Linked DNA regions of Drosophila melanogaster. The gene in region 2 interacts genetically with the main gene of each other region. Each region holds a gene or a part of one and is shown on either strand. Other genes may lie near its edges.

Region 1 (7,244 bases), on a different chromosome or scaffold from region 2:
ATTTGTTTACCTTGTAAGAGATATGGTACTGCACCGCAATCACGGACTTGTTATGTTACATAGCTAGCTACATACATAGTTAGCTAGATATACGTTTATCAATCAAACAATCAATCAATTAGAGACGCGGCCAGACGATCGGTCGGGGTTAATGCACCCACCACCGATCTCGATACCGATACAGATGCCGGCGCATCGCGGGATTAGCCGATCGTGGACAAAACGAAACAAACAATCAACCGCACGATGAGGCATCTGGTAAAAGTGCTGTGCTCTTATGCAAACCGATTTAAATATATATGTATATATATATATTACACGATACAGATTCAGAAACACACACGGACCGCTACATACTCAGCACGATGAGTGCGTTTCGCGTTAACGTTTATCAACTACAATTACATTAAAACAGAATGAATGATTTATATTACATTTAAATTAATGAGTTTACATTGCATTGCATGCGACATAAGGTTACACTTCATAAACAATAAAGACGATTTCAATAATACGAACTAACGATCTATTTGTTTATTACTTTCGGAGCACAAAGTATGCTTAACTAAGGGGCTCAAGCGTGACTATGAACAAACATTTCAAATGTGGTCTTAAACTATCAAGTTAAATAAGTAACGCCTCGGGTGTTGTGTCTTTGGTCATGGCACACTACTTTTCCTGATTAAGTGAATTGATGAACTCCTCCAGCTTCTCTTGGATCTGCCGCACTTTGACTGTTGAATTGAAAGCAATTAAATTGGCGCCAAATTCAATTAAGCAAAGCACTCACTTAGCTCCTCGGCTAGTAGCACGCGCTTGCCGGTGAGCAGGTAACCCTTCTTCTCCTCGTCATCGCTGAACTCGTCCAGCACCGCTTTGATCTCCTTGTCCAGCCGCCGCGCCTCCCGATTGATTACTTGCTGTCTCAGTGCGTTGCCTGTTATCTTGATCACCTGCTGGATGCGCCAGAAGAGCACGACGTCGCTGCAGGATATCTGAGAAAGCAATAAGTTAAGTAAATTGGTTCAGATAAGAGGGAAAACCTTAACACTTACCTCACACTCGGCTCCCTGCTGCGTGTAGAGGTAATATGCTTTGCGGCAATCCTTTGCCCTCTGTAACGCCTGCTGCAGAAAGTGTCTGAAAAAAGAGACATATGTGCTAACTGATAAGCAGTCTAAATGGTTTAGCATTACAACTTACTTTCTGTAGACCGGGAACCACGTTTGCCTTATGTAGTCCGTGTCCACATCCACGTTATCACGCTGAAGGTTCTTGCGAACCGTAGTCAGTTCATCATGGGTCAGGGTGGGCAAATGTTTCTACCAACATAATGTAATGCGTGTAAATGAGGAATAACTAACTATATAATGTATACTACCCATACCGTATCGTTTTTGAGTATTTTGTCGAGTTCGTTCTTAACGCTTCGCCTCTTCTGCTGATCCTGCGTCAGGTACTGCCAGTGGGTAATTCGTCGCATTTGGCCGGGACCAAACATTTGTGCTAAAGTCTCCTCCGTCTGCACGAGCTTGGCATTCACCGAACTCTCCAGGAACTTAACCGCCGAATCCCACTCCTGCTTGTCGTGCACGAACCGATCCTCCAGCGTATTCAGCTGGATAACGCGAAGCATGTCGATGGCCTTGTCCTCCCAGCTGTGCCGACGTATAGCCTCATCCACCACCGCAGACTTCAACTGATCGAAGATGCCGTCGTGATCCTGCGCCTTCTTCGAACGCTCCATCAGCGATATGAATTCCTGCTGCAACGCTTCCCAGCCAGCTTCCACCGACTTAGCGGGCAGTGCCTGCTCGGCCCACTGGCGCAACTTGATGTCTACCATCGTGTTGAAGGAATCTATAAAGAGCATAGTAATCGTATGAAATTAGTTGAGCCAAATTAACTAGACACACAACTACGGGGGGAATGATAAACAAAGCGACGAAACATTCAGATTCCTAACTCGATAACTGCAATTTAATTCAATTAGACATTGATTTGGATGAATTCATTGAGCAAATTAACAGGTCTGTCATAAAATGCTAAATAAACACAAGCTGAGCGATGGCTTAAACGGGTTTTTCGGTCATAAATCGCTAATATCGCATACGTTTTTATAATGTGAACATAAACCAAAATCTGGTTTCGGTACAGGTGCTCGTAAATCTTCGTTATAAGCGACTTTCCGGCACATGATCGCAACGCAGAACCTGTGACAATCCCGGGTCACTATTTTGGGGCAAAGGCAAACGGTGTTAATGGGATTCGAAATCGTCCGCCGGGGAGTACACATTAAATTTACACTTGTGATTCAAGAAATGTTGCAGGAATATCAGTCAAACCGGTTTGAAATTATTTAACGCATGTGATTCCCTTGCACGGGAATTCGACGCTGAATGCGGGCCATGATAAATACAAAATTAAACAAAACATTTAAACGACACAACGTTTTGCAGAGACACGTGAGGTTCGAGGCCAAGCCATATCTTCTTGCAAGAAACACACACAATGACGGAGCACACAAGGCGGGCGATTGGATGGACGTGCCCCCATCGATGACGTCGGCGAAATCTGCTTACAACCTACACTTAGTACTACAAAATATTACTTTGAGAACCTGACTGTGCAGCGGGCAGATAGATGCTTTCAAACACATAATTGGAGAGCTTTTCCCATAGCTTGGTGCTCAGAGCGTCGTCCCACTTTTTAGCGGAGATTTGCGAGAGCGTTACCACCTCGTCCAGTATCTCGCCCTTTGCCTTGTCGAACAGCTCATCTCGACCAGACTCGCGCAATCTAAAAGAGTATACCTCAAATGTTATAGATCTCTTATATTTTTTAAAACATTTTTACAAACCTGGGGAAGTTATTTTTCCATTCGGTTTCCAGATTAAATCTAGTCGCCTTAAATGCATCCGCCTGCTGCTCAATGGTTTCCCTCACCATCTTCCAGAAACGATCTGACACCGCCAAGCTCAGATTGCGGCTGGTCACCTGATGGGGCATGATAACCCCTCGACGACTAAGTATGGAGAGAGGTGAACTTTGGAATTTACCAATCACATCCTCTCTATACTTACTGGAAAAGCTTGGAGTTCTTAAAGAAGTCTTCCTCATACTGCCGAATAGCATCTATGCTGTCATCCTTTCGTCCACGACCGGTAACGACGGCATAGTAGCCCAAAGCCTTCATGGGGAAGAGTTTGCCCGAAAGGATTTTCCTTATTCTATCAGGATCGGCGAGCTCCTCGGCCAGATCCACCTTTGTGAGCACAAAAATAGTGCGTCGACCCAAGGGATCGCACTGCATGACCAAGTCTGTCACATTACTGCGCTCAGCGTCCACAGATCCATCCTGAATGCAGAGAATGATGGCGTTCGGATTGCTCATATAATGCTTGGTCATCTGGTGAATGGAATCTTTTGTGTCTGAGGCCATGTCGACAGTCATGGTCTAAAATGATATTAGCATTAGATGTGCGCAGTTTTACTTGTATTGACTTGCTCACCGAAATTATTCCTGGCAAATCGACTAGAACCATGCGTTGCAGACCGGGACCCTTGACCGTCATGGCAATGACTTCATTGCTGACGGTTTTACCACCTCTCACCGACGCCTTCATTCGGAACTCCACATCCCGACGGAGGTCCTGCAGATCAGACTCCTTGGTGAGATCGTATTCCCGGTCAGAGTCACGGAACTGAGCCACATGGTATGGTCCTTCAGCCAGAGTAACTTTGACTGGGGCTCGCGTCATCATCTCTCCACTGCCACGGGGAAAGATGCGAGCCTTAGCAATGGATTCCAGGACAGAGGTCTTGCCGCTGCTCTGATCTCCCACTACCACAACACGGGGTAGGTGATCGGCCATGGTGTAGCCCGTATCGTAGCCGGATAGCTCATCAAGGACCTCAGAGTACATGTCGATCAGGGATTTTTTGATTTTTTTTGCCGTGGTCTTTTTGTTTGTTTTCAGGATGAGGTATTGCTGGCGTAGTTCACGGTTCTCCTTCTCCATCTTCTCCAGCTCCTTTTGGTACTTAATCTGGACGTTCATGATCTCCGTCTGCAGCGTCTCCACCTGGCTCTGGAGTTTCTCTGCGGAATCACAGAAGGATTAGATATAGTATATCTTTCGGCAGGTGTGCAAAAAACCTACCATACTTCTTACGACTCTCATCGGATGTTATGCCTAAAGCGGCCACCGTTGTTTTGGCCTTTAAGTCATCTTTGGCTGCAACAGATGTTAGGAATAAGTCTCGAATGCGGTAGATAGGGATCTCTCACTTTAAATGGTCCCAACGTTGGGAGTCTGTGTAATTTGTGTAACCTACTTTCGACAATCTGAACTCCTTGATAATCGGCCGCCTCGATGGCATCGTCCAGACGACTGTCAAACCAGTTGCGCCATTCCGACAACTTATCCTCGCCCAGCTGCTTGAGCTTTGGATCTACAAGCAAACGCCCCAATAACATCAGTATCAATCAATCAAAACGAAGAGTTCAATGCGAATCTGACCAAGGTATATGACCATTTAAAGTGAGAGATTGAAAGGGCGATGGTAGGTCTACATGGACACTCACCAACTTCGATGGCGTTCTTCACCAGCGAGCCCACCTCAATGAGATTCCGCGAGAACTGGCTCCACCGTTCGCCCTGCGGCATGGCATCCTCCAGCCACTTAAAATTCGGCAGTCCATCCTTCCATTCCTCGTATTTCTGCGGAAAACAAATCATGTCTCCTAAGTTCTATACAAGTTATATAACTTGCGAAACTCACTTTGCTCAGCGACACGCCCCCGCCGATGGCGCCGCCCAGGACGATGTATCGCAGCTTGAGGGCTCCCCGCAGTATGCGCACCACCAGCATTCCGTAACCACGCGACGGCGGAGGCATTTGCCAGCCCCGCGCCGGATTGCCGGCAAGTAGGAACTCCTCGTGGCCACGGTGCCTGCCATTCGAACTGGAGCTCCCGCTATCCTGCGCCCGACGTGGATGGCTGGTGATGCCACAGAGCGTGGAATGATTGCAGCAGGCGACCTTGGTGGAGTAGACAACAGCTTTTCTCGCGGTGCGCCTGTGGGCAAAACACATTGAATGATGAGATTCGCCGATGACGAAATCGTGCAGAAAATCTGCACGTAAGGCTTTCGCGTTTCGGGCGTGGTCTCTCACCGGTAAGTATTTTGATAGATGCGCAACATAATTGCTGGTCAGGATTACAGTTTCCACTTAGTTTACTTTGTTTATTTCCGTGAATAATTCAATTTTCCTGCCGCAAACTCATCTCTGAAAAACTTTACGGGATGTGCTCTGTGTGACCAGAGTTGAAAAGGGTGGCTTGTACTCGTTTGGGGTACCTGCATTAGGTACAATGTATTTTACACGCATCATTTTGTAAAATAAAAGAATATATTTTTGTATATTGTATATTTTTCTTACAATAAAAAAAAATTGCTTGGTGACATCCATCATTGCTTAACTACATCTTAAGAGCTTTAAGTAGTTAAATGTTTATTGCTTTATTTCCTTTACCTACTCTACAACATTTGTGGTGTGTACACACTGTAGTTGGGCGCAAACATTTGAATTGCCAATTTTAGATTGTGCGAGTTGCGAGTTTCATTCCATTTTAATTCGTCACAATTTGTTAAAAAGAAAACAAATAACCTTTTTAGTCAATTGTCATATGGGCATTAATGTATTTTCACTAAATATTGCATTGAGTGATTAGACTTATAATTAACATAAATTAATATATTTAGAATAATTTAAGCGTAATGACGACGACAGACAAAACAATTACGCTACCACTAAATTTAAATATTCTCGCGCTCTTTCCTATATACGGGGGATAACGTTGACGTTTATACGTTTTAATTAATACATGCATATTTTCTATGTAGTTCGCTTAACCGAGTTTCTTTTTAATATTTAGAATGCACTTTGCAAAGAAGTAACTGTGTCTATTAAGAGAAGTTCATCACGGGAAAATATTTTCCCAGCCGTCGGATTTTCTTCATGGTGACAAAGCATTTAGAGCCGGTAACGTGTATTGCTTTGGTAAGGCTTTTATCCTCCAAAATCAAGTCGATATGCTCGATTGAGTTCAGATTATAAATATCTTTTGGTGTTTCGTTGGACTTCTTGCCGTTGGCTTTCTGGCTACTGATGTGGATGATGCTCTGGTTGTGATTGTGATTGAAGTTCCTACTAAGATTGGTATTGTTATTAAAATATTGCTCTTGTTGAAGCGTTGCTTTGGCTGCATTCAAAGTATTCATGATTTGGTCCGTGGCATTTGTGGCGTCTGCCTCCTCGTCGTACTCCTCCTTGGTTTCGGCAACGGAGAATGTGCTAGTGTTTAGGCTGAGTAAAGAATATCTCTGATCGATATGTTGGGTGGACGAGGACGACGAGGATGCTGCCTCGCTCTCCGCGTAGCATCGATGCCGCATCTCGTATTCCTGAGCCTCTGTGATGCGGTCCAGCGACTGGCTCTCGCGAATGCGCCGCCTTCTATTCGTGGAATTTCCTGTTGTAGCTGTGCTGCTATCCGCCAGCTGCCTCTCAGCGTGGGAATGCTTATCAACATGATCCTTGTTGTGCTGTTTCCGATTTTTTTGGCTGTGAGATTTGCGATTTTCATCGGATTTGTTATTTGGCTGTAAGCAAAGAATATAAGTTTAGTAGCTGTCTCACTGATAATTATACAATAATAATCGTACCTCTTTATACTGCGATTGTCCCTCTTTTTTGCCGCTTACTGAGCCGCTTTTGGAGATAAAATTACCCGCATTGCTGGCCGAGCCGGGCGGCGGATATAGCTGATCTTGCGAGTCGCTGGAGTCGTCATGCGAGTCGCGACGATGCATGCGAAACCGCACTGGCGTGTCACCGACAAATTTGTTAATCTTTTTCTTGTTGCGTGTCTTGGTGTCGTCGTCTGAGGCCTCCGAGCTGCTGCATGAAGGCGTCCGAATCTTGTTCAGCTTTGTGCGACGGTGGGTAAGCACCGGATTCTTGCTGCTGCTAGGAAGCGGCTTGAGCTTGCCGATCTCCAGCTCCTTCAGACCACTCAGCGTGTCCTCATCGATCTTGGCACTCTTCTCCATCTGCTTGAGCTTATGGGCCAGCGTTGCATCCACCGAGACGACAATCTTTGTACGTGAATGGCTTGGCACTCCGCTATTAGCTATCTGTTCGCCTTTCGTTTGATTTCCGGGCTCAGAGCTGGA
Region 2 (4,211 bases):
CCTATATATAATTGCCTAAAATCTATTGATTTACAGATGTGTCCTAGGGCGGTTGCACATATGAATTATAAAACTGTATTAAAGTGAAATATTTAATTTTACGTATTAACGGCCAAAATTTAAGTTTCAGTTTCTTAATAATTTTCTCTTTTGTGTTTTCTCTCTTTAGCAAGAATAGTAGTTAGTACTTTTGAAAATCCAGGAACATTTTTGAAATGCCTTTACCATCCCCCAATCAATTATTAGTCCCCTTGCGGCTACGCGCCTGGGTTGAAATCACATGAACCTTGTGCCGCTGACCACCCACTGCGCATTCGCGGCACTCGCTCTCTGGCTGTTTGGCCAAATGCACGTGTTTGTTGCGGTTTTCGCATGCCTGGCCGAAGAGGAAAGCCCTCAAAATATTTGTGGGCGAGCTTAAAAAAAAACGTAAACAAAGTTTTTGTGCGCACGCAACAAAGGAACAGAGTGGGGTAGGATGTGATTCGCGTTGGTCCTTGTCAGGGGTGTTTCTGCTATTGATTGCGTAGACGACAAACAGGGTGTTGTTCGAGCAGTCTTTACTATGGTATACAATTTAAAAGTAGTCAACAAACAAAAAGGACCCGTCGGGCCGACGTACAACGATGACGAAGGATTAGCCGAACCAGTGGGCTCCCATGCAGTCGCGTGTCCACTCAGTCTGGCAGACCCAGCACCACTCGAATCCGCAGCCAGCGCGTGTGCAGACCATGTGCATGCAACCGCCTGGTAGGAAGAGAAGAAGACGGTATGGATGTGTTACAAACTGCGTCTTGGGTGTCTTCGATGCTCGCCCAACTCACCATCTCGCTCCGTGGGGGTTCTGCATTTTGGACAGGGCTTTGTGCTGACTTTGATGGTGACATTGCTGGCCTCATCCCATCGCGCCTCGGCAGCTCGCTAAAAAAGCACATGATTACACAAGCGGGAATGGGCCGTATAAGAGCCAACTCACATTTGGGTCCACGGTGTACTCGCAGGAGTTTGTGGCACTGGCGCCCGTCCCCTCGGGCAGACACTCCCCGATATGGTAGCCCTGCAGACAATTGCGGCAGAACACGTATCCACAGCCGTTCTGGCATGTCACCTTGCGACAATCGGGCTCCACCAAAAGGCCCATGCCGCATCCTGGCTGGGGGCAGAGTACTCCACCTGCCTGTAGGACATACTCCTCGGTGGCGAATCTCTGGTACCGATCGTACTCCTCGCGTGTCAACAGCTTGAAGTGATGAATCTCCTCGATGAACGAGTGCTCGCAGCCTGCGGGACAGGGCAAGGTGTAGCCGAAGTCCGGATGCGGCATAAACTGACGCTCGCCCAAACGGGAACGGCAATAATGGCGGAAGCAGTCGATACAGGTGACGTGCTGCGATGCGCAGGGGAAAACCAACACGGTATCACTGCGAACATAATAAGGTGATTATAGCAGAATAAAATTATATGACAAATAATTACTTTAAAGACTTTAAAAGAACTTTTTATGACATTTTCGATGATATGAAAATTATAAGAAATTAAGATGTTCCTTATTGCATAATCACCTCACATCCGTGCAGGCCAGGCAAGGAACATTCTTGATGTTATTCTTGATTAGATTCAATGGAGCCGCAAAATCCTTCTCCCCGCCGGAGACATGCTCAGCACACTTGAAGAAGAATTCAGCGAAGGGCGGATCGCCAGCCGCGTTGTCCACGCAGGCCACCTCCAGACTTTCACAATGACCGGGAATTCTACGCGACTTCAAGACATCATCCCAACACTCCGGATCACGATGGACAGTAAAGGCGCCGCCCTTGCATAAAGCGCAGCGGACCCGAAGTTTGCCATTACACAGCTTATCGCATTGGCTGCAATGTACAAAGAAATGCGCTTTGGCACGGACTCTTTCTGGAGAGGATACGACGGGATTACAAGGGGTTTCGTTAAAAAAAAAAAAAACAATAAAAACTAATTGTTGCCTACCTTCATCGGTTATATTCAGACGCTCCTCGCTTTCCAGCTGCAAGTCCAACAGAGTTTCATTTAGAGGCTTGGAGGCTTCATCGCTAAGCGAAGGTTCCTCCTCCTCCAAAGTGGCCGACTGGATTTTCTGGCGCTGCACGGGCGGTCGCAAACGAATGGCATGCAAAACGCTTTGCTGACCCAAGTCACATTGCTACTAGAAGACAGTAAAAGTTAACTTCATGTAGCGGATACATTAAAGAAACTTCTTACCTCTATTGTCGTGGCATCGCTTAGTTCCTTACCGGCAAATATGATCTTTAGATCATCCGGCTGAAGTCCCAATTGTGGTGCCACCAGTTCCTTTACGTTTTTAATATCCCACTGGGGCTCCAGATTAACGGTCAGCGTTTTGCCCGTGTTCGTTTTTACATAAATACTCAGCGTGTGCGTAAGGGTTTTCCCTCCAAATTGCAACAGCTCCAGCATTTTGCGTACAAAAGTGGCAATAAATTTAAAAATAAAACTCATTTGTTATCAGCTGATCGGGTTTAATTTTAGTGCAGTGTATATGCTTCAGTGTTGCCAATCGTTGTTTACTTACGCGTTGCCAAACACCAGCTGGCAGCCATTCGGAGGAAAACGTGGACACGCAGAAAGCGCACAATTGAAAACAATTTTTGTGAAGAAGTCGGAGGAGTATAAATGTAAAAGTTTTATGGAAATGTCAGGACTAACTTACAGAGAGATCAATGGCGACCTATTCAAATGCCAAAGGGATTATTCCATGTGCCACTGCGTGGCTGCCGATTTGCGAATGGGCAGAGGCATAGCTGTAAAGTTTCGGTAGGTAATGGCTTAGTGTTTTTAATAAAATGGTAAATTTGCCTATTTTCCAGAAACAAATTTGGACAGTTGTTGAATTTGCAGAGACAAAATGTTCAGCCAGGCGGCGTGGCTGTCCTTCAGGACCAGCAGCGATTTATTTACTATCTGATCACCAAGAAATCCAGCTGGGGAAAGCCCACCTACGAACTTCTCCAGAGTTCCTTGATCGCCATGCGAAAACACATGGTATGTTTATGTATCTTCTATAAGAAGTTATGATATACGAATCTTTCTACCATTTGCAGATCTCCCACCAAGTACCCAAGCTAGCCATGCCCCGCATTGGATGCGGTTTGGATGGCCTAAACTGGCCCAAAGTTAAGGAAATAATTTGCCAGGTTTTTCAAGCGGATTCTGTTGAGCTGGTCGTTTATAATTATGTTGCTATGAAGTAAATGGCTCATATTAAACTAAACGATCCATTATTTTCCCTGTGGAGGCACAAAATTGTAGACAACAATCTCCAGCGGCTCTTGGCCAAAAACGTACTCGAGGACTCCGCTGACTTTTTCCCATTCCAAGCCATCAATTCCGCAGCCAATTTTTGGGATGGCCAGCTTATTCACGTTGTTTTTGCGCTAATGTAGGAATAATAAAATGTAGCTCTTATTAATATAACTTGTCTAAGCTTTATATATATAATAAATAAAAGCAGGGATACATTCCATTCATAAAAGATATGTATCAGGCATGTATTTACCATATGCTCACGCATCTGCTCCAAAGATGCTTGTACAGATTCGTAGGTGGGCTTTCCCCAGCTCTGAGGCTTGGTTACTAGGTAGTAAATGTACCGCTGGTCATCCTTCAGCACCGCAATATCTCCACTGCCCGCTTGTTGGGCTTGCAGCTCGTCCAACCTTCCGAATACCTTCTTGAACTGCACGGCAATTCCAGCACCCATCGCAAGATCTGCGCCCACACAGTGCGCCAAGGAATAGGTCTTGGGGGCGGAAAACAGATCCCCATCCACTTCGCTTAGGGTGTACTGAGGTTTGGATGACATTCCGACTACAAAAGCTCGCCGAAATGCGCTACGTAGTTCTAGAAGTTTGGGAGAATACATTTAGTTTAAATAAGGGTTTTAGATCTGTCTGACTTAGTGTAACAGGCAGCTACTAGATTAATTTTTGGTCATACGATAACACTAGATAATGGTTCGTAAGGGTATATATATGTATTTATCAAAACTCCAATCTTTGGTTAATATCCTCTCGAGGACGTGTTTTATTTATTAATACATTAAATACAGTATAAATAACCAAATATGGAAACTTTGTGTGCTATAAAAACCTCTTAGGTGTATCGTTCTTATCAACTATATAAGTATTTGGTGCATATGATGCCACAAGTCCCAAGCA
Region 3 (7,429 bases), on a different chromosome or scaffold from region 2:
TGTCAAAGTAGTACATGCCCTCATGCTGGCCCCATTGCCTGGGCGAGATGAGCTCCCCCTGTTGTTCCCACTGCCGCCTGGAGCTGGGTCGCTCCTCCTCGTGCGCCTCCACCTCGATGGCCGAGTCGTTGCTGCTCGGCTGGCTGGTTTCCGAGTTGTTGGGCGCCGGGGTTCTTCTGACCAAGGCCCTGGATGAGGTTTCCACACGATGTTCGCCTTGAATAGAAACCAACAAAAATCCATGTTAGTCAATCTTATTCGAAATAATCTACAGATCTAATAAAATAGCATTGCGATTGCTTACCACTACCGCTGCCATCAGCTTCGGTGCTAACGCTGCTAAAGTCCAAAGATTGTGGATGAATCGCGCGTTGGACCTGGACGGGATTCTGGGCCACTCGGGCAGAAGGCGCCACACTGAGCAGTGCCAACTCGATGGATCCTTTGCTGCTGTTGTAGGTCAGGTCGCCCAGGGGATGGGGTGTGACCAGGACGTTTCCGGAGGCGGGTATGGTGTCCACCAGGAAATCCGTTTGAGTGGCCTTGGCACTGGTCGCCGATCGAATGTGGTACATGAAGTGGTGCTGTGAGTTGTCCTGCTGGCGCCTAAGCTTCTGCTGGCATTCGCTTAGCTCGGTGCGCAGGGTCTCGAAATTGCACTTCATCTTCACAAAATCATCTGTCTTTCTGTCCAGTCGTTCCTGGACATACTCGTTGAAGCCCTGCAGACGCTTCGCTTCTACTCTCAATGAGTTGATCTTTTGCTGCAGGCTCTCGTTCTCGGCCAGCAATCGATCAAAGCTGCTGCTAGAGTTGTTTGAATTGGAATTGTAATTCGAATCGGAGTTGGAGTGAGTCTGGCAGTTTTTGTCCACCTTGAAGTCACCATCATGGACATACACCTGCTGCAATGTGGGCGTTAGACTCTCCGGCATAGAGTTCACTCGCTGGAATCCGGCGAACTTCACATTGCGTCTCTTTTGGTCCTGCGCCTGGATCTCCGCTATGTACTGGCCCACCTTGCTGGTCACGTGCTGGAAGCGGCGCTTCGTGTAGGCCGAATGGATGTCCTGGTAAGAGACCGCCTTGCTGGAGCGCCCGCTGCCCAATGGAGCCTTCTCGCAACCCAGTTTATGATCATCGCCTGGTTGAATAAGAAAGGATACATGTTAGCACTAGCTAATTGACTGTGCCCATTGAATGAAGTACCCATTATACATCGAGACATGGAAGTACCAAAATTATACATATATGAGATATGTTTGATGGGAATATTTCTCCCATTGTAGTTAAGCAAGTGTAGAGAGAGAGCGAACACTTCTTACCATCGACATCCTCATCATAGTCGTCCTCATCCTCCTGATCACGACCCACGGGATCGCTTACGCATGTCTTGGCGCTCTTGTTGGCCACATCCCCATCCGCATCAAAGTCTGGATCCGCGTAGCAGATCTCCAAAAATGGCGCTGTATCCCGCTCGAAGACTGCGGGCTTATGGTGCTCCGCGAACCAGGTATTCCTGGCGCCACTGCTACTCAAATTGTTCAGCTGGTCAAACAGCTCGTCCGTCGGAAAACTCTCGTCCTGTAGACTCATCGCTTTTTATGCGGAAATCCGAAAAGCGGGGGAAATAATACAATTAACACGAGACACAAAATTACACGCGGATTCCAATTGGAGCGGGAAAGGCGCCGTTACATTCTGGCTAACTGGAAACTGGCTAGTGTGACCATTTCCAATCAGTGAAAATCATTGTCAGGGTAAATTCTATTTTTAAATTAGACAAAATTTAAATTAGACAATAAAAATAAAAATAAGCTAGGTGGTAGTAATTGAAAAAAATTAATTTCAATTAAATATGGCAGCGAATTGAAAAAATACCATATTAAGCTTTCGACTGGCATAAAAATATACTAGACATGGGAAGGCATAAAAATGCACTAACGCCGGATGTCAGCGAACAACATGAGTTGGTCACCTTAACGTTACATCATGTGCATTTAAAAAAAATTAATAATATTAACTAAATTTCGTGAAATTGCTTCTCTGCAACTGGATTCTAGTCGGCAATGTACGGTTATTGGAAGTTCGAACCACGCTTTCCACAATTTGCCATTTGAAAACGCATCAGCTGAGGGGCAGCAATTAAAAGAATCGAACAACCGGAGAGGAAAATAAATACAAATATAAAATAAAACAAATACAAATATGAGCGAGAGTGGCATTAATCAGGTTAGTTGATAGAGCGAGAGGGCAGATTAAACTTTATCAACTCGATTTACGCACACAGATGTAAATTGTCAGAAAAAAGAAAAACCAAAAACATTAGATTATTATACTTTTTTCGCCTATATTTGTTTGCAGCGCAATTGGACCACGTGTGTGTGTGTGCGTGCAATTTGCGTTGCGGTATTTTCCTTTTCGCCAAATACAGTGCACTCTCGACATAGCGAACAACAAATCAATAGTTTATGTTCTCTCTAAGATATACTTAGCAAACACATGCTTGATTTTGTAGCGCACATTTTGTTTAACACTTAAACCACTCAAGTTGAGCTTATCTGGTGCGCACTGTATTCAATCGTTTTGTTTTTTCTTTCGTGTCATAATTTTTCATTTAATTTCGTTTCAGTTTTATGACGTTGATTTTTGAGCAAATACCCCCAAAAGCAATATAACACACAATAAACAGAGATAGTTAAGTTTTGAGTTTCGGGTTGGCGGCGAAGTTGCAGAAGTTGGAAGTCTGAACAACCAAATCCCCTGGGCTGCATACCTTTTGTTTTGTATCGCAATTCTCTTCTTCTACCAAAAAACCATCTGCTAAACCGAATCAACCATAAACCGGATCCCGAAATGGCGGCCTACTTGAACCGCACCATCTCGATGGTGACCGGGCAAACGGGCCCCGCCGACGACGACCGTCACGCCTCCTCCACGGACACGGTGGACAAATCCGGACCCGGTTCCCCGCTATCCCGGTTCAACTCATCGCTGCAACAATCCGGCTCCACAATGGCCGCCAATCTGCTACCGGAATCGCGGCTCTATCAATCCAACGACAAATCACCGCTCCAGATCTTTGTGCGCGCCAAAAAGAAGATCAACGATATCTACGGCGAGATCGAGGAGTATGTCCATGAGACGACCACCTTTATCAACGGTGAGTTATGTATTATATTTTTAAAATACCCAACAGAAGCCAATCCTTGAACCTCTATGTTGCATGGTATTCGATAAGAACGATTATGATTCAGTTCATCGTTTTACAAGGGAAATGGTGAAATTTTGATTCTTATCTAACATCTATTGCCTTTGGCGAAATACCCAGTTAAACCAATGTTCGTTGCTCTTTCAGCCCTGCACGCGGAAGCGGAGATCGTGGACAAGGCGGAACGGGAGCTGTTCGAAAGCTATGTGTACAAGGTGGCGGCCATTCGCGAAGTACTGCAGCGGGATCACATGAAGGTGGCCTTCTTTGGACGCACCTCCAACGGCAAGAGCTCGGTGATTAATGCCATGTTGCGCGAGAAGATCCTGCCCAGCGGCATTGGGCACACCACGAATTGCTTCTGCCAAGTGGAGGGCAGCAATGGCGGCGAGGCGTATCTTATGACAGAGGGCTCCGAGGAGAAGCTAAATGTGGTGGTAAGTGGGCTACTCAGCTCTCCTCTGGGAAATGTGTTTCGCCTAATGACCTAGTGACCCTTGTTTGCAGAACATCAAACAACTGGCGAATGCCTTGTGCCAGGAGAAGCTCTGCGAGAGCAGTTTGGTGCGCATCTTTTGGCCGAGGGAACGCTGCAGCCTGCTGCGCGACGATGTCGTCTTTGTGGACTCACCTGGTGTGGATGTGTCGGCCAATTTGGACGACTGGATCGATAACCATTGCCTGAACGCCGATGTCTTTGTGCTGGTCCTGAATGCCGAGTCAACGATGACGCGTGCGGAGAAGCAGTTCTTTCACACCGTCTCGCAGAAGCTAAGCAAGCCGAACATCTTCATCCTGAACAATCGCTGGGATGCGTCGGCCAACGAGCCCGAGTGCCAGGAATCGGTATGATCTTCTAGGCGGCCCCTTTAGTTAGTCCACAATCTCTGTCAGACCCTGCATTACCATTACATGGCAGGCGAACCATATGCCACATATGTGTACATATGTTCGTTTGCCAGCAGTTTTGCACTGCCACATCTCATAAGTAATTTCTTGGACCTCTTCGTATGCCTGTTGTCTCTCTATGTTGATGTGTGTCTTTTGTTTTTGTTTATTACCCAACCAACCAATCAATCTATCAAACAACCAACCAACTATCCACTGTAATCAACGCCAGGAATTGGCTAAGGTAATGAATGAGCTAGACCCGCTTGCTTGGTCCCACAAAAACCCAATCCACTCTGCTTTGGTCTCTTTATCGAATTGAACCGATGAACACCTCCTTGTTGACTCTTCCCAAAGCAGCTTACTTAGTTGCCCTGATTGATTGATCTATGCACTTTCTAAGACGCTTATTTCATCAATTGATAGGTTAAGTCTCAGCACACGGAACGCTGCATCGACTTCCTCACCAAGGAGCTAAAGGTGAGCAACGAGAAGGAGGCGGCCGAAAGGGTATTCTTCGTTTCCGCCAGGGAAACGCTGCAGGCGCGCATCGAGGAGGCCAAGGGCAATCCGCCGCACATGGGTGCCATTGCCGAGGGCTTTCAGATACGCTACTTCGAGTTCCAGGACTTCGAGCGCAAGTTCGAGGAGTGCATCTCGCAGAGTGCTGTGAAAACAAAGTTCCAGCAGCACAGTTCGCGCGGCAAGAGTGTTTCGGGTGACATGAAATCAATGTTGGACAACATTTACGAGCGGATCACCATATTCCGCAATCTGAAGCAGGACCAGAAGAACCTGCTCACCGAACGCATCCAGGGCACAGAGACGCAGATGATGCAGGTTACGCGGGAAATGAAGATGAAGATCCACAACATGGTCGAGGAGGTGGAGGAGAAGGTGTCAAAGGCGCTGAACGAGGAGATCTGGCGCCTGGGCGTACTCATTGACGAGTTCAATATGCCCTTCCATCCGGAGCGTTTGGTGCTGAACATCTACAAAAAGGAATTGAATGCCCATGTGGAGAGCGGCCTGGGCAGCAATCTGCGCGCCCGCCTATCCATGGCCCTGGCCATGAACGTCGAGTCCGCCCAGACGGAGATGACCGATCGCATGCACGCCCTGGTGCCCAACGAGCAGCTCCTGGCCACCAGCACCAAGATGGTGGTGCGCACGCAGCCCTTCGAGATGCTCTACTCACTGAATTGCCAGAACCTCTGCGCCGACTTCCAGGAGGATCTGGAGTTTAAGTTCAGCTGGGGCATTGCGGCGATGATCCAGCGCTTCACCGGCAAGGTGCGCGAGCGCAGCAAGAAGGGCCAGCCGGCGCTGGTCAATCGACAGAGCAGTATTGGAGTGAGTTTCTACAGTATAGTTGTGTTGCACCACCTTTACTATATCTCTGCCATCGAATCTCGTTCACAGCACAGCGTATCGACGCCGACCACGACGCCCGTGGAAGCCACTCCTGTGTGCCTGCTGCCCGCTCCCGTTGTGGCTGGCATTACGCCCGAGCAGCTGTCGTTGATCTCACGCTTCGCGGTGTCCTCCATTGGATCGCAGGGCACCGTTGGTGGTCTCGTCGTAGCCGGTGTCGTAAGTGTTAACGGTTAAATTATCATAACACCTCTTGTCCTTACCAACGACCAAGCAGGTGATAGTGCATAGCTATGTGATGAAATCAAACCACTTGCAGATGCTGAAAACTATCGGCTGGCGTGTCCTGGTGGGCGTGGGTGCCCTCTACGGCTGCATCTACCTGTACGAGCGCCTCTCGTGGACAAATTCAGCCAAGGAGCGAACGTTCAAGTCGCAGTACGTGCGCCATGCCACCAAGAAGCTCAAGATGATTGTCGACCTCACCTCGGCCAACTGCAGCCACCAAGTGCAGCAGTGAGTATTGATCCCTTAGCGTCTGAATCGCTGATCACTTATCGAATATTCTCTGTCACATCTCAACAGGGAATTGTCGAGCACCTTTGCCCGTTTGTGCCGCACGGTTGATACCGCCACCACGGACATGAATGATGAGCTCAAGACGCTGGACTCGCAGCTGAACATCCTGGAGGCGAACCAGAAGCAATTGAAGCTGCTTCGCAACAAGGCCAACTACATACAGAACGAGCTGGACATCTTCGAGCACAACTATATATCGCCGCAGTAGTGGAACAGTAGTGGGTTGGCTGACCGTGGGGCAAAACACTAACCAGAATGTGGATGATCATAGAAATCAGGCGAAGACAAACACCCAAACGACTACAACAACATTAATGCACCACGTATTTGCTGCTCAACTCTCAGTTTTTCTCTCCTCTTTTATTTTATTTTTTTTGTAAGAAAATGCATGATATGAGCCAATCGATTGGAACCTCTTTATTCTCTATCGTTTAAACAAATCGTTGTTGTTGTTGAGAATTCTTTTAATTCCTAACATGCACTACTCTGCTAGTGTGATTATTTAGTTTTCTTTTTTTTGTAATTGTTGACCCGGAAACGCACGCGTATATATATATACAAATAGAGAAGTATCCAAAACACTGTGAGCATGGCCAGGTGCCATGGAAAAGCAAGTTGCGAGGAATTATGAATGCCACATGATGATGACCGACCCCAGAATGCGAAAGTCACTCACTTATTTACCTCTTTTTCGCCCCTAATAGAAAGTCTAGTACTTATACATATTTGTTTTTGAGTTGGGACGCTAGAATAAATGTTGGGGCAAAGCAAACCAATATATATGAAAACACAATTGTTGAGATGTTGCAAAGCATGAGAATGAGAATGATTCATGAACGAAAACGAAACGAAATAAATGATATTTATGTAAGAAACTCATAATCGAAATTATTTCAGTGGAACTTTGAATATCGGAGCCGTGTCGCGAAAACGACAGAGACGGATGATGGACATTTTGGGAGCGGAATAAGGGACACCTGGTTTTTCCCACTGATTACCGGACAACGCATTTCGAATTGTCTTTTTTGTTTTAATCATATCGTTTTGATCGGGATCACACAATTGGGTTATTCTTAGTTATTCTTATTTCCTTCAAAGCATTACTAATACAAAATGTACAAAGTATATGATTTTTGTGTTTGTTCACAGAAATAAATATGTAGGTTTGGAATACAAAATAACAAAGTGAATCTCTATATACTTCTTGCTTCCATTAGCATCCGTTATCAGTAAATACAATACTTGGATATACAACTTAAAGAAATCAATTCACGTGTTCCCCTCTCTTTGGACTTGCCGGAAACTAATAACAAAGTTTTTTTTTAACTGTGCTCTTAAGAATTAGATATGTGTTTTTGCCATACAAAAAAAGAGACG
Region 4 (3,214 bases), on a different chromosome or scaffold from region 2:
CGATCCACATGTTTTGGAAGCTCGTGAGTGAGGCCAAGACGGAACCACCCGTCCAAACGGAGAATCTGCGGTCTGGACTAGCGTTAACCTTGATTCGGATGGATGGTGGAGCCATTTCGGTTAGGTCTTGCAGGAATCTATGCTCGATGTTACGAAACATGGTCGTACCGCCAGAGAGAACAATGTTCGCATACATATCCTTTCGCAGATCCATGTCGCAGTTGGTTATCGAGTGATGGGTGGCCTCGTGGATGCCCATCACCTCCTGACCCAGCAAACTGGGTTGGAAGAGAGCCTCCGGGCAGCGGAATCTCTCGCAGCCCAAAACGATTTTCTGCCCATCTGGCAGCTCATAGGTTTCCACCTTTCCGTGGAGATCCATTTCCTTGGCATAGTTCATTGACACATAGCAGAGTTTCTCCTTGATTTCACGCACGATTTCCCGTTCAGCAGAGGTGCCCATTGTAACGCCCCTCTCCAGAAGCAGCTTGCATAGATAATCGGTGAGGTCCCTGCCGGCCAGATCAACTCGTACACAGGCGTGGGGCAGGGCAAATCCTTCGTAGATCGGTACCGTGTGCGTCACACCATCACCCGAGTCCACCACAATGCCCACAGTACGCCCGGTGGCGTAAAGTGAGAGCACAGCCTGAACTGCTACATAAAAAGCTGGCACCTGAAAGTGTTCGAACATAATCTCTGTCATCTTCTCTCTATTCTTCTTCGGATTCAGTGGGGCTTCGGTGAGTAGAGCCGGCAAATCCATTGGATCCGCCCGCAAGAGCTCGTACGTGTGCTGCCAAACCATCTCCATTTCATCCCAGTTCTTGACCATTCCGTGCTCGATGGGATACTTTAGGGTTAGTATTCCCCTTTTTCGGGCTGCCGCCTCGCCAATAACACTATCACCGATCACGGAATCCAGCAGGACGTTCAGGTGACGAGGTCTGCCCACAATCGACGGGAAGACAGCACGGGGAGTATCTTCTGGGGAGAATCCAGCCTTACATACTCCAGAGCCGTTGTCAATAACCACTGCGGCGTGGTGTGAATTACTATCTACCTCGCTGCTCATGTTTCCAGGAGAGGTTGCTGAACGAATCATGGTCAAATCATAAAATCTTTAGCTTATTTAAGCAACTTACGTAAATGTAGATATTTGTGAAGAATGTTCTGTGCCCGTTTATTTGTTATATCGATTTTGATTCGGGAAGGTATTTGAAATGTAGACATGTTGTGTGCTGTGTTCCAGTCGGATTTTTAAACTTATGACGTTAATTTCATGGTTTATTTCCAATTTAGCGCCATGACATACAGAGGCCAAAAATCGATTAATTCAAGTATCAATCGAATGGATGCAGTCGATACGTAAGCAGCTAAAATATGCTAATAGTCACTAAAGTAGTATTTAAACATAAGAAATATTTAAGAAATCCTCAATATGATTTGAATATGTTTCAGTGCAATGTTTCAATTAAAAATAGTTTTTAATTTCTTTTAGTTTTACTATTTAACTTCAATATATATAAGTTGATCTCACATCACTGACTGATTGGGGTCTTTCGATATTTTCTCATCTGCTCATCTCTAGCAGTAAATTGTTCAAATAGAACAAGCGAAATAACGAGAACGTAAGCCTTGTTTTATTTGATATAAAATCTGATATCGGGACTTAGCCTTATTAGCAGTCGAATAAAACGCAGATATGTTCGTGGCCCGTAAAATTTCGCAAACTGCAAGGTAAGTTGCGAAAAAAAGTATGCCCAAATCGATGCCGGCTGATTACATAAATAGCAACAAATGGCGACCCTGATCTTGAGGACATTATAAAACAAGACACACTTAACCCTTTGCAGCCTGGCGGTGCGTGGCAAGCACACCCTACCGAAGCTGCCCTACGACTATGCCGCCCTGGAGCCTATCATCTGCCGGGAGATCATGGAGCTGCATCACCAGAAGCACCACCAGACCTACGTCAACAATCTAAATGCCGCCGAGGAGCAGCTGGAGGAGGCCAAGTCGAAGAGCGACACCACCAAGCTGATTCAGCTGGCTCCTGCCCTGCGTTTCAATGGCGGTGGCCACATCAACCACACCATCTTCTGGCAGAACCTCTCGCCCAACAAGACCCAGCCCAGCGATGATCTGAAGAAGGCCATCGAGTCGCAGTGGAAGAGCCTCGAGGAGTTCAAAAAGGAGCTGACCACGCTGACCGTGGCGGTCCAGGGCTCCGGCTGGGGCTGGCTGGGCTTCAACAAGAAGTCGGGCAAACTGCAACTGGCCGCCCTGCCCAACCAGGATCCCCTGGAGGCCTCCACCGGCCTGATCCCGCTCTTCGGCATCGATGTCTGGGAGCACGCCTACTATCTGCAGTACAAGAACGTGCGTCCCTCCTACGTGGAGGCCATCTGGGACATCGCCAACTGGGATGACATCTCGTGCCGCTTCCAGGAGGCCAAGAAGCTCGGTTGCTAAGCACAGCCGGCGATTGCGTATGTTTAATCTATAAGCATCTGCGGATCGGAGATCCTAAATTGTAGTCTAAGTTGCGGCTAATAAATTGGTACCAGCTAGCAACTAATTTTTATAATTTTTATGAATGGGAATAAAACAATTTAAAACATAATTTCCGAAGATAACGCTTCACAAAGGCGTATTGAAACTATTACTTCATTGAGGAATTAAAAAATATACATATACCTATTCATATTTTTTATTTTTATCAATTTTATTACGCTCCAAAAAAATTAATTTTTATATTAAATTAAAATATCGCAAATACTGTAAATGTTTTACAACACTGCCGCCCATGGTGCCATCTCTAGCAAATCAGCTGTGCGCGAGCCAAACAAAAACAAAACAAAAGTCAGCCTGCCGCGAAATCGGGGGAGGAAAATTGACATTTCCACCGAGTTTTCCCGAACTTGCGTGCGCGCAGCTGCAAACAATTTTCCAGCACGCGTATCCGAATGGTGGAACAAATGGCCAGCCGCTGGCAGAGTCGTTTGTTGCCTGTTCGCGTAATGGCCATCCTCGAAAATCGCCCGGAGTTTTGAAATCGAGAGACCAGTACGAAACAAAGGAAAATCATTTAATTTCCTGAGGGCGGTGACGAATGAAAAACATACAAAATAAACCACTTGAGTGCAATAATAATTTAATAAAGAACTGTGATTGTGAGTGTGTGAGGAGAACTGTTGACGCCCATCAAGGA

What was found.
Region 1: of park (region 2) and Opa1, changing one suppresses a phenotype caused by changing the other (phenotypic suppression), as found in Drosophila melanogaster (2 studies listed by BioGRID).
Region 3: of park (region 2) and Marf, changing one suppresses a phenotype caused by changing the other (phenotypic suppression), as found in Drosophila melanogaster (4 studies listed by BioGRID).
Region 4: of park (region 2) and Sod2, changing one suppresses a phenotype caused by changing the other (phenotypic suppression), as found in Drosophila melanogaster (2 studies listed by BioGRID).

What each region holds. Positions count from the first base shown.
Region 1 is NT_033778.4:14,230,105-14,237,348, forward strand, and holds Opa1 (optic atrophy 1), read right to left. Parts: upstream 5,346-7,244; 5' UTR 5,211-5,345; coding exon 5,182-5,210; intron 5,084-5,181; coding exon 4,786-5,083; intron 4,725-4,785; coding exon 4,589-4,724; intron 4,456-4,588; coding exon 4,339-4,455; intron 4,239-4,338; coding exon 4,164-4,238; intron 4,103-4,163; coding exon 3,513-4,102; intron 3,458-3,512; coding exon 3,084-3,457; exon of another isoform or gene 3,026-3,083; coding exon 2,861-3,025; intron 2,800-2,860; coding exon 2,612-2,799; coding exon of another isoform or gene 2,598-2,611; exon of another isoform or gene 1,861-2,597; coding exon 1,388-1,860; intron 1,323-1,387; coding exon 1,204-1,322; intron 1,141-1,203; coding exon 1,056-1,140; intron 996-1,055; coding exon 791-995; intron 735-790; coding exon 670-734; 3' UTR 507-669; downstream 1-506. Other genes in the region: Snrk (SNF related kinase), read right to left, coding at 5,976-6,671, 6,735-7,244.
Region 2 is NT_037436.4:21,194,210-21,198,420, forward strand, and holds park (parkin), read right to left. Parts: upstream 2,645-4,211; 5' UTR 2,567-2,644; intron 2,561-2,566; exon of another isoform or gene 2,504-2,560; 5' UTR 2,494-2,503; coding exon 2,236-2,493; intron 2,177-2,235; coding exon 1,984-2,176; intron 1,928-1,983; exon of another isoform or gene 1,909-1,927; coding exon 1,563-1,908; intron 1,438-1,562; exon of another isoform or gene 1,422-1,437; coding exon 977-1,421; exon of another isoform or gene 922-976; coding exon 825-921; exon of another isoform or gene 748-824; coding exon 638-747; 3' UTR 545-637; downstream 1-544. Other genes in the region: Targ3 (terminal ADP-ribose protein glycohydrolase 3), read left to right, coding at 2,687-2,808, 2,862-3,036, 3,096-3,245; Targ1 (terminal ADP-ribose protein glycohydrolase 1), read right to left, coding at 3,251-3,281, 3,340-3,428, 3,551-3,916. UniProt on the Drosophila melanogaster protein: E3 ubiquitin-protein ligase which accepts ubiquitin from E2 ubiquitin-conjugating enzymes in the form of a thioester and then directly transfers the ubiquitin to targeted substrates, such as Paris, Marf, Opa1, Miro, pnut, Septin1, Tom20 and porin.
Region 3 is NC_004354.4:6,364,001-6,371,429, forward strand, and holds Marf (mitochondrial assembly regulatory factor), read left to right. Parts: upstream 1-1,948; 5' UTR 1,949-2,232; intron 2,233-2,632; 5' UTR 2,633-2,856; coding exon 2,857-3,163; intron 3,164-3,358; coding exon 3,359-3,648; intron 3,649-3,718; coding exon 3,719-4,057; intron 4,058-4,331; coding exon 4,332-4,343; intron 4,344-4,525; coding exon 4,526-5,452; intron 5,453-5,521; coding exon 5,522-5,692; intron 5,693-5,792; coding exon 5,793-5,989; intron 5,990-6,058; coding exon 6,059-6,260; 3' UTR 6,261-6,924; downstream 6,925-7,429. Other genes in the region: swa (swallow), read right to left, coding at 1-216, 305-1,144, 1,326-1,596. UniProt on the Drosophila melanogaster protein: Mitochondrial outer membrane GTPase that mediates mitochondrial clustering and fusion.
Region 4 is NT_033778.4:16,772,281-16,775,494, reverse strand, and holds Sod2 (superoxide dismutase 2 (Mn)), read left to right. Parts: upstream 1-1,579; 5' UTR 1,580-1,705; coding exon 1,706-1,740; intron 1,741-1,856; coding exon 1,857-2,475; 3' UTR 2,476-2,710; downstream 2,711-3,214. Other genes in the region: Arp53D (Actin-related protein 53D), read right to left, coding at 1-1,092, 1,146-1,233. UniProt on the Drosophila melanogaster protein: Destroys superoxide anion radicals which are normally produced within the cells and which are toxic to biological systems.